3 linked regions of the Mus musculus genome follow. The protein of the gene in region 3 purifies or fractionates together with the protein of the main gene of each other region. This does not show direct contact. Links are inferred from orthologs where the notes say so. Each region holds a gene or a part of one and is shown on either strand. Other genes may lie near its edges.

What was found.
Region 1: the proteins of Kdr (region 3) and Cdh5 purify together in Homo sapiens (affinity purification with western blotting; 3 studies listed by BioGRID and IntAct, with this or other methods). This does not show direct contact. The link is inferred for Mus musculus from reciprocal best matches to the Homo sapiens genes KDR and CDH5.
Region 2: the proteins of Kdr (region 3) and Ptpn6 purify together in Homo sapiens (affinity purification with western blotting; 3 studies listed by BioGRID and IntAct, with this or other methods). This does not show direct contact. The link is inferred for Mus musculus from reciprocal best matches to the Homo sapiens genes KDR and PTPN6.

The regions. Positions count from the first base shown.
Region 1 is NC_000074.6:104,100,317-104,104,491, reverse strand, and holds the start of Cdh5 (cadherin-5 preproprotein), read right to left. Parts: upstream 2,868-4,175; 5' UTR 2,760-2,867; intron 1-2,759. UniProt on the Homo sapiens protein: Cadherins are calcium-dependent cell adhesion proteins. They preferentially interact with themselves in a homophilic manner in connecting cells; cadherins may thus contribute to the sorting of heterogeneous cell types.
Region 2 is NC_000072.6:124,730,296-124,734,432, forward strand, and holds the start of Ptpn6 (tyrosine-protein phosphatase non-receptor type 6), read right to left. Parts: upstream 2,860-4,137; 5' UTR 2,659-2,859; coding exon 2,651-2,658; intron 2,566-2,650; coding exon 2,443-2,565; intron 2,200-2,442; coding exon 2,005-2,199; intron 1-2,004. UniProt on the Homo sapiens protein: Tyrosine phosphatase enzyme that plays important roles in controlling immune signaling pathways and fundamental physiological processes such as hematopoiesis.
Region 3 is NC_000071.6:75,961,378-75,965,022, forward strand, and holds part of Kdr (vascular endothelial growth factor receptor 2 isoform 1 precursor), read right to left. Parts: intron 3,563-3,645; coding exon 3,448-3,562; intron 3,362-3,447; coding exon 3,198-3,361; intron 1,490-3,197; coding exon 1,333-1,489; intron 469-1,332; coding exon 357-468; intron 1-356. UniProt on the Homo sapiens protein: Tyrosine-protein kinase that acts as a cell-surface receptor for VEGFA, VEGFC and VEGFD. Plays an essential role in the regulation of angiogenesis, vascular development, vascular permeability, and embryonic hematopoiesis.

The sequences.
Region 1 (4,175 bases), on a different chromosome or scaffold from region 3:
TAAAGGCAACAAACACTGAATCCCTGGGCAGGAGGACTAGAATATACACAGTGAACCCCAATATACACAGACAGCGCTCCCAGATATGCAGGTGTCTTGACCTCCTCCTCTCTGGTCTGTGCATTCCACCGGCTGCCTCACATCTGACCTAATTTCCTGGTCTTGCCGTAGGCTCATCCTCCCATTTCCTTGTTCTTCTCCAGGGGTAAATATCACTCACCACTATCTGTCCACCCCTGAGCCCCATTTCTCCCTCCTGGCCTGTGCATCTGCCAGGCAGTCAGAATCATCCTCTGACACGCAGAGAGACGGGAGACCAAGGCTGAGTTTATGGGAGCTGTGCGAGTCTTCCCAGAATTCCAGGTTCCCACCCTTCCTTCAAGAAGTTCTCTGTAATTTCTCCTCTCAATGCCAACTTAGAGCAGGGTTATGATGAACTTTTTATATTTCTCCAACAACAGTAGAACCATTCTCTTAGGGCAGTTCCCAGTTTATCCTTATACTGGCTGTGGTGGTCTAAATTGTATATGATTGCCTCTTCTCTAAATTTCAATATAGAGTATGGCTATGGGGTCAGCCCTATCCCTTTCCCACTTTATACTATGTGGCCACATGTCTGGCTAGCCTCTCTGGATTCCAGAGGTCCCATCAGTCACTTGGGAATTATTCATGTCAACTGAGGGGGTGCTAAGGAGGTGATGGAAGCAACCAGAAATGGTCCACTCAGCCAGGGGTTGAGATTTTTGCTAGAACGGTGGCTGGTGTCTCCGAGGTTCCCGTGCAACTGTGACTCATCTAACTTTGGGAGAAAAAAAGTGTGGCCCTTCAGGCTTCCTGCTCTATGTCCGGTTCTTGTTTAGCTGCACAATGGTCGGGCTGAGACTACGGGGTAGGCAGGTTAACCCCTTCAAGGTACTGGGAACTTCTTCTAGCTCCTAATTGTGAAAAGTTAGAATTTGAAGGACTGCCCTGAGGATCAGCTGCCCCTGGCCCCTTGGGGTCACCTGGTACTTTCCAGTCCGCAAATGGCTGGGCTCAGGCCAGATGCAGGAGAGTTTTGTGTCTTTCTTGCCCACTAATTGTTCTGGGCTGTCAAAATCCTCTCTGCGACTCAGCATTCAACCCAGTTCTAAAGAACCCAGAACCCACCAGCCTCCCAGACCCTTCAAGCTTCCAACCTTGAAGTCATCCACTGTCATTAGAGTCTTGCTTGCCTGCCACATTCCTCCAGGGGTAACTAATGAACGCAGATGCCCGGAGGTGCTTGCAGCAGGGGTAGCTAAGTATATGGCCTCTCTTACTCTGGCCCTTCCTTTCACATGGGTGAGACCCCCTAACAGGAGGTGTGAGACTTGTGCTTTGTGGTTTCAAATCTTTGTGGTATTCACAGCCACCTATGGCTATGGGGTAGTGGGTAAATCCACTCAGGATTCCCTGGCTATCTATCTGCCTCTCATTAGGAGTTAAGCCCAGAGCCAAGAGTGTATATCACAAGTAAGGACTGAAGATGTTTCTACAACTTTATGGTCTAGAAGCCAGAGACCCCATGTAGTCACAGGTTCCAGGAAGAGCCCGTGCTGAGGAGGACTAAATCTAAGTTCCCATCGTCATTCTGACTCAATTTTCACACTAACTCTCCTCTGGATCTCTGTTGTTGTCTCTGAGTACAGAGTTACCCTATCTACCTCCTTGGGACTGGATAGTAAATCCAGGAGCCATTGTTTTGTCGGAATATTCTTTCTGCATGAACCATCTCCACCGCTCACCACAGATTGTGAATAGAATTGCATCCAAAAATGTCCTCTCCTAATGAAGGTTTGGAGACCTTAGGTTACCGTCCCAAGGCCACACCGAAGTGAGTAGGCTGGGATCAGTGCCGAGGGTCACTGTCTCTGAGCTGGGCTTTTGGCTCAGAGGTCCTTGTCTCTAGGGCCTTCCAGAGACTTTGCTGAGCTGTACGGCCACAAGAATTCTTGAGCTCTGGGCTCTGAGTATCTGGTGTTGGGGGAGAAACTACAGGCTACCTTCCTGCCTGCAACTGCCGAAACACAAAGCAGGCTCTGAGAGTCTAGGGGAGATGAGGGAAGAGGGCTCATAAATGGGACTCCAAGTGCCCAGAGCTGAACCTCAGAAGGCCCATCTTGAAAGTGGGAGATATTGACAGAGGGAACGAGTACCCCTTTCAGCTCCCCAAATCCCACCCTAGTCCCTCGAGGTGTTGTAGGTAGAGATAACGGGGCAGGGGAATATAAGTCAGACCTTGGGAAATCTATCTCTTTAGCTCTGGACCAGATTGTCCTTTGGGCAGAAGGCAGAGCTAATCCTGGTAGATAGGGAAGGGAATCACAGAGCCGTTATTTGTCCATCCCACACAAAGCAGATCCTACTCAAATCCAAGGTCCAGACTCCAGTCCTCTGCCCTTGTCCTTGCTGAGTGACAGTGGAAATCCTATCCTCTTTGAGCCTGGTAGTCATAGAAGCTCCAGGTCACTGGAGTTTCCCTGAGTACGACAGTCTACTTACAAGGCTGCTGAGTCTTTCTTGAACATTGGTTCTGAGATAACCGTTTGTGTCCTTGCACACTAAGAGATATGCATTTTTTTTAGCCCTACCCTGGCCCCAGCAGAGAGACTCAGGCTCCGGAGAGGCTGTGTTCCCTTGAGAGTCCTACAGTGGCCATCCCATACGGGCAAGCCAGGACTCTCCCAGTTTTATCTCCATGAGACAGGAGTAGAGAGGGATTTGGGAGTCTCACTTACCTTGTCCGTGAGCAGAAGGCTCTCTCCACTGCAGTCTGTCCAGGGCCGAGCTTTGTGGAGAGCACAGTTGATTGCCTCAGGAGGGGAGAGGGGAGCCACACCCAGGCTGGGAGGGAGGCAGGTTTTCCAACTGGCCCTGGCCCACTTCCCCTCGGGATGGTTTCCTGTTATTGTTCCTTTGTGAGCTGCCTGCAGATAGGCAAGCCCTACGGTGGGCGGCCTCAGCTTGGTCAGCCTGGGCCCGTGGAAGCCTTGGACCTGCCTGGGGTATTCAACTCATACCTCAATTCTAGGTCTCATCGGAGGAGCTGTGAGCCTAGGGGTAGCTGTGGGGGCTCTAAGCTTCTGCCAGAGCATTCAGCCATCCCTGGGAGGCAGGTGTCATATCCCCCACTTTACAGTTCAGAAAGCAGAGGCTTAGTGGGTCTAAGGTACTTGTTTCCTCGCTGGACAGAGTAACCCAGACAGAAACCCAGCTACCTCAGCTTCTCCACAGAGCCGGCTTTCCGTGGCGACTCTGTAGTATGGTGGAACGAAAGGGGGCTGTGGAGTTCTCAGAGTCGGGCAGCTGAGAAACGTGACAGACAATCACTTTCAGCAGCAGATTTTGCCTGTCAGATTCTTCCAGGTAGGGCAGTGTGAGTTTCAGTTCCAAGGTACCAGCCTGGCCCATCTCACTTTACAAATACTGGGTGATGGGCTTCACGTGACCATGGACCAACCAGGGATCCATGCCTCAGTCTCCTCATCTGTATAATGGAGATAGCCATAGGTCTGAGTCAGCAAAAAAGTAAGAAGAGCTAAGAAGACAGCAAAGCAGTAGGTAGACCAGGGTCCCTCAGGACCAAGAGGCTGGGGAGATGAGGTCAAGATTCTCTTCATTCAGCCAGGCGTGGTGGCGCACGCCTTTAATCCCAGCACTCGGGAGGCAGAGGCAGGTGGATTTCTGAGTTCGAGGCCAGCCTGGTCTACAGAGTGTGTTCCAGGATAGCCAGGGCTATACAGAGAAACCCTGTCTCGAAAAACCAAAAAAAAAGAAAAAAAAAAAAAAAGAAAAAGATTCTCTTCATTCATTATGTGATGGGTTAGTAAAAATTTCAGGGTTCTGGCTCAGAGTAAATGACAGACCCCCAGAGTGTACCTTTTGGCAAATTGCCTGGGTTTCTTCATGCATAAAAGTTTGGGAAGTCCCCAACTTGTCCTGCTTTTCAGTGAGGCAAAGAGGGACCATAAGAGAGCAGATCTTTCCGGGCATGGAGAAAATACTGTGGGGGTAGGGTGGGGTGTGGTGGGGGGAAGAAAGGGTTTTCTGTTTGGGGTAGGTAATGTTGGAGATGCCCATTAGACACCCAAGTAGAGACATGGGCTTGGTGAACGAAAGCAAAGTTGGTGTAGCCAATCACTCCCTCCAGGTCC
Region 2 (4,137 bases), on a different chromosome or scaffold from region 3:
CAGCTCCTTCCCTCAGGGACAGGATGAGGAAGTCTCCATGCAAATGTGAACAGACCACAGGCAGAGAGTTCACTATTGAGGGGACAAATGCAAATTTCCCAGAAGAGGAGGGGCAAAGAGAGGAGCCATTGGGTCATGGCTTCCACACACACTAAGGTTAGGGATGAGACAGCTTCTTCCCAAATGGCCATCCAAAGTGTCCCTTGGAGTCCTCCGCAGCCCTGTCAGAGGGTATCATCCACAGGGTGTCCTGTGCTTCCCCACTGCCCTGGCCTGTTCTCCTAACACCTGTTTAGCTCCCACCTCCTTCCTGATCACAGGGAACACTGCAGCCACCATTCAGCTGTACCTCCATGGTCTACTCTAGCAGGGCGCATCCTGGCTTGAGTCAGCAACAAAGAGAAAACAAGGGGCTCAAAGCGAATCTGAGAGAGAGGCCAAACCATCCTGAGGGCTGCAGGTAGGATAGGAGAGGAGAGACAACCTGGGGCAGGCCCTCCCTTCCCACTCACCAGCAGAAGAGGAAAGCCTTCTAGGGAGTGTCCTCCAGCTTCTTTGTTTGTTTGTTTGTGGTTTTCTTTGTGTTTTGAGGGTTTTTTTTGGTTGGTTGTTTGTTTGTTTGTTTGGGTTGGAGTTTTTTTGTTGTTTTGTTTGGGGGTTTTGGTTTTTCAAGACAAGGTTTCTCTGTGGAGCCCTGGCTGTACTGGAACTTACTTGATAGACCAGGCTGGCCTTGAACTTCCAGACATCCACCTTCCCCTGCCTCTTTTGAGTGCTGGGATAAAAGGCCTATGGTACCACCTCCACTCCGCTTGTTTTAGTTTAAGTCAAGGTCTCATGGAGCCCTATCCGGCCTCAAACTTGCTATGGAATGGAGGATAAACTTGACCTTCTTCTGGTCTTCCTGCCTCCACCTGGGCTCACAGGCACGTGTCACTCACACTAGGTTTATGCACGACAGGGAATAGAACCCAGTGTTTAATGCATGGCAGGCAAGCACTCACCACCTGAGCCACAGTCCCTAGACCTTCAGTCCTCAGTTTTAGTCAGTAACTTGTGAACAAAACTATTGAGCTAAGTTTGTAGGCACGAATCTCAAAACAGACTTTAAAACTGCGTGGAAGGTAGCTAGTGGCAAAGCGCTCACTCAACTCAGACAAGGCCCCGGGTTCAGGCCCCAGCAGAGAAGGGTGTGGGGATCAAGTTCGGAATCATTTCAACTGTAAATACACAGACACAGGACAGGAACAGGTACGCAGAGCCCCAGAGTCCATAAGAAAACCCTGAGTTAATAGGGGTTGCCAGTCAGTCCCTGTGCTATACAGCTAAGACGAGCCCCAGTGTAATGAATGAGGGACATTTATCTCCATAACCTTCCCTTTGCACATGCTCTGAGAAGACCACAAGAGAACAGCCAGCCCAGCTATGGGGGCCGTGTCTTTGCAGCACTAGTTGGGGATATCCTGAGGGTCTCCTTAAGTCAGATAAGCCTGGGCCCTTCTCTACCTGTGACCACCTCAGCGACCTTGCTTTCACCAAGCTCTGTCCAGCCCCACCTCAGTGTGATGCTGAGAGAAGTCCCTGAGTACCCCAGTACCAGTGGACCTCTAAGACCTTATTAAGACAGGGACCTAGAGCCCCAGGCTGTGTAGAGGGCTGGAAGAAGGCACCAGAGTTCCATGGTAGGACAAGCTTTCTAGTAATAGGGCCGACCTGATGAGAAACACCAGAGACAAGGAGTGGCCTCTCTGTTACTCTCAGGATGAGGTTGCTAGGCAGCAGGAACCCTGCAGGAAGGCAAGGGGAACCCTTCTCTGGCTTCCTCAGGGGACAGGGGATTGGTTAGATACATGGGAATCATCAGCCTACAGAGGGAAGAGGCTGAGAACACTGAGAGAACAGGTGTGGAAGATCAGGGATGAAGAACGGACTGGGAACAGAAGGACACCTGGTCTGGATGTCCACTTATCTCAAGGGACAGGGCCAACCTGCAATGCCCCTCACCTCTCACTGGTGGGGTCCGAGCAGTTCAGTGGGTACTTAAGGTGGATGATGGTGCCATCTCGGTCCTGCAGGATGCCCTGCTGCTGCGTGTAATACTCGACCAGCTCTGTCAGCGTCGCAAACTTCTCCCCTCCGTACAGGTCATAGAAGTCCCCTGAGTTCTGGATCCGAATATGAGTCACCTGATCATCCACCCTGCGAGGCACCACCAGGTAGTGAGATACATGAGCAGCAGCGGGGTGGGCTTGGGGGGACAGGGGTCTCGATGCAAAAGCACATAGGCATGGAGTAGACATAGACAGTTATGGGCACATGCTAGGGCGACAGGCAGGGACAGAAGGGAAGAAATGTATCATGAGGAGACAACACAACCCAGGGAACCCAGGAATGCTCCGGACCCACACAATGAGCTGCCAAGGTGCAGGGAGGGCCACCCACCTGACTGAGAGGGAGAAGTCACCCTGGTTCTTGCGGCTGGGCCGAGCCAGGAAGCTCCCAGGGACTCCCCGGCCCTTCAGCAGGGTCTCTGCATCAGGCCCGCTGAGGTCCCGGTGAAACCACCTAAAAGTGCACAGGGCAGTGAGGGAATATCCCCAGGGCTCCAGCCACCCTTGTTTCCTATCCTCCATGGGTCCCAGGCCCTTACCTCACCATCCTGGGGTTCTCACTGAATTGGCTGCAGAAAATGTGGAGGGAACAGTTTGTCTGGGCAGGCACGTACAAACTCTAGAGATGAGCCTCAGGCAAGGCTCTCAGAGCCCAGGCCTCCAAAGCCAACCTGCAGTCCTGCTCCCCGGGCTACCACTCTACTGGCCTGGGGCAGCCAGCAGGGCGGAGACAGGAAGGGGCGCGGCCGACCCCTTAGGGGAACTCACTAGAACTTCTCTTTTCAGAGCGAGGGAAGAGGAGCTGGAGGGTGGCAGGGTGGGGGAGGGCCCACTTCCCACAGTCTGCCAACAAAGGCACAGGGGCAAGGCAGTAAATATTCATGACTCAAGAGGTAAGGCACACGTGTGGCAGGTCAAGAGTCACGCACAGTGAATATCCACATTATCAGGTCAACCCTTCCTCCTCCAGCAGCTGCCTCTACTCAGAATTATTCTTAGGCACAGTCTAATAATGATCGTGTGCAGTGGCACCGTCATTTAATGGAGTGTCGCAGCCTGCCAGACTCATTGCTACAATGTCATTTTCATGCCTCCTGTGAGTTACAGGTCACCAGGGCCTCATTCCTCAGGCACTATCTTTATCCCCACTTCACAGACAAGGAAACTGAGGCCAAGAAGTTTGAGGAATTGCCCCCAGGTCTTACCCTTAGTGAGTTGCAGGATTCAGACCTAAATAGTTTCAAAGCCAATGACTTTTGAATTCTGCTTGCCAGCCCTCAGGACCCAAAGAACAGTAGTCAATAGACTCCTTGTCCAAAGGAGATGCTATCATCACAGCTGAGAGCCCCCACAAAGCAACCTTGTGCAGCTCTGTCATCATGGGCCTAGGCCTCCTTCCTATACCCTGACTGTCAGCAGGGAGGGGTGGGGTGGGAAGGTATCTCCTAAAGGTTAGGGTTTATGGCCAGGGTCCCAACAAGGGCAGACGCTCACAGGGAGGGCTTTAAACTTTAGGAGCGCTCAGCCTTCAGGCTTATGGGACCTTGTGTATGTAAACCCCAGGATGAATACAAAAAAAGATGCAAATACTACCAAGCCAAGACCAGAGGGGAAACAAGCTGCCCAATTTATATTGGTATCTTCCTTAGCAAGGGACACAGGCTGCTGGAGAAGGGAGATGGGACAGAGCACCTTATATCTTTTAAGGGTTTATTGTCTGAGGTGTTTTGATTGGTTAGTTTTGGTTTGTTTGTTTGTTTGTTTGTTTGTTTGTTTTATAATACTGAAATTAGAACCCCAGTCCTAGCTGGGCATGGTAACCCATGCCTTTAATCCCAACACTTGGGAGGCATAGGCAGGCAGCTCTCTGTGAGTTTGAGGCCAACTTGGTCTATACAGTGAGTTCCAGGATATCTAGCGCTATATAGTGAGACCTGTTTCAACAACAAGAACAACAAAACCAACCCAGACTCTCAGTCCCTTAAACAGTGTGAGGAGCATCCTTGGGCAGGCATCCTTGGGCAGT
Region 3 (3,645 bases):
CCTCCGATGTCTTTTATTTTATCTTGACTCGTATGTAGGAAAATCATATGTGCATTGCTAAGTCGAACTTATTTTGCTTCATGTGATGATCTCATCTTTCTGCAAATGGCATAAGTTTGTTCCTCTTTAAGATTGAAGGGGTATGTGTGTGTGTGTGTGTGTGTGTGTGTGTGTGTAACTCACACTTTCTTGATCTACCTAGGTTGACTCTGTAACTTGGATGTTATAGATGACATCACACATACCGATTATTAGCCTCCAATATACCTTTGATATACCTTTGCATGTTATTGTACCGCCTTCTATTCAGAGATAAGAATTAGAGAGAGAATCAAACTCAAAAAGTTTAAGCTCACTTTGTTTTTTCCTTCAATCAGGGCATATTGGTTTTTGGTGACTTCGATCTTGTTTCCCCCCTGGAAATCCTCCACGTGTCTCCATTCTTTACAAGCATACGGGCTTGTTTGGCTGGAAGAGGGAGAAAGCGCAGCATGTCAAGATTTGACTTCTCTCTCGTTCAGGAGTGCCGGAAAGGGTCAGCCTCTGGTTATCACGTTCCTAGTGATAACCCTCGACACACTCGAACACTTCGCAGAACTTGGCGCCAATTAAAAATAGATGCCTATACACAACAGTGCGAAGGTCCTGAGGATACAGGAGGGAAGCAGCTATTCTGGGAACAAGTCTCCATTCATAAATTGGATCGACAAGACAATTCAAGCTCACTTAGTTCAAAGGAAGGTAAGGAAACTTGGAAGCCATTGGGGCTTCTTAAAAGTCACCTCTCTGGGACGGACCGACTGCGGGCTTTTGTTTAGGAAATGGCCAGCAGCAGAGGAAGAAACTCGGGTTTGCTATTTCAAAAACAACAACAGGAAGTGGAATGCTTGGGGTGGTAGGTTGAAGGTGGTGGCTGTTGTTTTCCCTAAGGATGTCTGCACTTGTGGTAGACCTTGATAAGCCTGGGCCTGAGACTCTCGAGGCCTGGGCTAGGTTTATCACTGCCTCGCATCCACCAGCACTTCCTCTGAGAGATGGACATTCCCACAGATAAGGAGGAGCAGTGTGGTCCTCTGCAGTCCACAGACAGAAGATGATCCGATGATTGGCATCTAGCAAACGCAGCAAGTAGTATCCCTTTGGAGAGGAATCCACCAGGGCTAACTAAGGAGAAAGAGCTGACTCGCATAGTGGGATACGGGGGAATGAGTCCAAGTACCACTGAAGGGGTAACCTTGGAGACAGCCTTCCGGGTTTCGACGGAACCCTGGCATGGCTTGGCAAGAAGGGACGCACGATGGCAAGTGAAACAGAGCCCACAGCCCCACTCACCCGGGTCTGTAGGAGCAGGCTTCTTCTAGCTGCCAGTACCACTGGATGTGGTGCAGGGGAGGGTTGGCGTAGACTGTGCATGTCAATGTCTGCATGGTCCCATACTGGTAGGAATCCATAGGCGAGATCAAGGCTTTCTCACCGATCTGGGGTGGGACTGGAGATAGAAAAGACAACCTGTGAACTGCCCGATTGCTTTGAGGAATAGAGGGGATTTCAGCAACCAGATCTGCCTTATGTACTCATATGATTTTGCTTCTGCTTGCTTTTCTGAAGGACATCTAGACTTGGACACAGAAGACCCGAACTCTTAGGCTCTCATAACCCTAAAACCCTGATAAGCCGAGTGACTTCAGGCCAGCTATACATTCCTGTGCGACACTCTCTCGCTCTTACATGAGAGATGTTGTTCTCCATGCCCTACAGCCCAGCAAGAAGGGGGTGAGAAGGTACAGAGAGAAAGCAGTTGGAATGATGCAGCAAAGACATTTATTGTATGCCCAGTCTTGCTGAGGTGCTCCACGCTGACTTTCAGTTCTCGTTATCATGGCTATGACTTTCACCTTACACATGAGAGGAAATGGGAAAATATTAAAAGATTTGCCCAAGGGCATCATATATAGCAGTTCATATATAGCAAGATCCTGGACAAAGGTAGACACAGGCTTTGGAACAGAAGCTTGGCTTCTGTATGTATCACACACAGCAAGGGAAATGCTGGGGTGTACTGAAAGTGGTGACTTGGTGAAGTGGAGAGATGGGGTTGCCCCCTGTCTGCCTCTCTGTCTTTGCTGCCCGATTATTTTCTTCTTTTCCCTGTATTTAATCAGCTTCTGCCGTCCTCCCCTCTCTTGCATCCCCTTTATCCATGCTGCTTCTAAGCAGCCTTCCCAGAACCTGTTATCTTTAAAAAATACTCCCTAGAGGAAAAAAGAAACGAAGCCATGCTCAGAAGATACACAGAGGAGGATCGAGACGCGTGGGCAGTACGTTCCTGGACTGAGACAATTGCTTGACGTTTTAATGTGTGGTGCCAGTAAGAAGAACAAAGAGTTACACCAGCAGCATGCCTCTGTGTTTGGAGCAAAATATTAATCTATTTACTGGGGGAGAAAAGTGCTGTAGTCAAATAATCTAGCTAAATGCCAGATACTCTTGTCTCTCCCATCAGAGAAGACAATAGCCATTAGCCTATGAAGATTCTAAGGAAGTCCTGTAAGAAAGACACTTTAAGTCAGTCCTGTACCTGCTACACTCACCTGACCGTGGCACCTTTCTACCTTGAACTCAAATACTTAATTATAACATTCAGTCTGGGAAAGTAAAGTTTAAAACACTCTTAAATCAAAAGCTTACAGTCTTTCCTGGCTTTCCTGGACAGACTCTAAGTATGACCTCTGACTGTGGACAGCAAGTTATTCAGTGATCCTGGACTCCACAGGTCTCCTGTGTGGAGTTCTGTATCAAGCATCTAAATCTTCAGACTAAAACATCACACAAAACACGAGGAGGGTCTCCTAAGTCTTCATTCTATATAGCTTTGTAGACAGGAGCAACAGGAGCTCACAAAGCTTTGAGTGAGCCCAGAGGCATTTGGTTAGGGGGTACTATCTCCTCTCACCTTGCAGGTGACCACCAACAGAACCTTCACATGAGTTATCAAGGAAGCATGGCCCACAGGATGCCAGACCACATCTCATTTCAAATCCACCTCCCTGGGTCATTTCTCATTTTCTTAATGCATTGGCCCCATTAATGATGCAGATGACATAACAGGAGACAATAGAATGATGGGAGATGCATGAAGATGCACTCTTTCTCTTCCCTAGCAAACTTTTGGCAGAGGAGACACTGAATGGACTCACCATTCACAACCAGAGAGACCATGTGGCTCTGTTTCTCCATTGAAATGGGGTTGGTGAGGATGACCGTGTAGTTTCCTGCATCTCTTTCAGTCACTTCCATGATGGTGAGTTCATCGCCAACAATCATTGTGTAGTTGGACTCAATGGGCCTTCCATTTCTGTACCTAAGGGAGACAATCCCAGGAGGTAGTGCAATAGAAGGATTTGACCTCATTTGAATCAATGCTTTGCTTTTATTTCCAGTAGTTACCATTTGATATCAGGAGCTGGGTAACTGAGATACTTCACAGGGATTCGGACTTGACTGCCCACTGTGGCTTCCACCAAAGATTTCATCCCACTACCGAAAGCAATAAAAGGCTTTGCTAGAAGAAAATGAAAGCAGTGGTTCTCATAAATGCCAAGTTCCTGTAAATGTCCCTTTGGTTTGGATTTTTTAAAAAGTGAA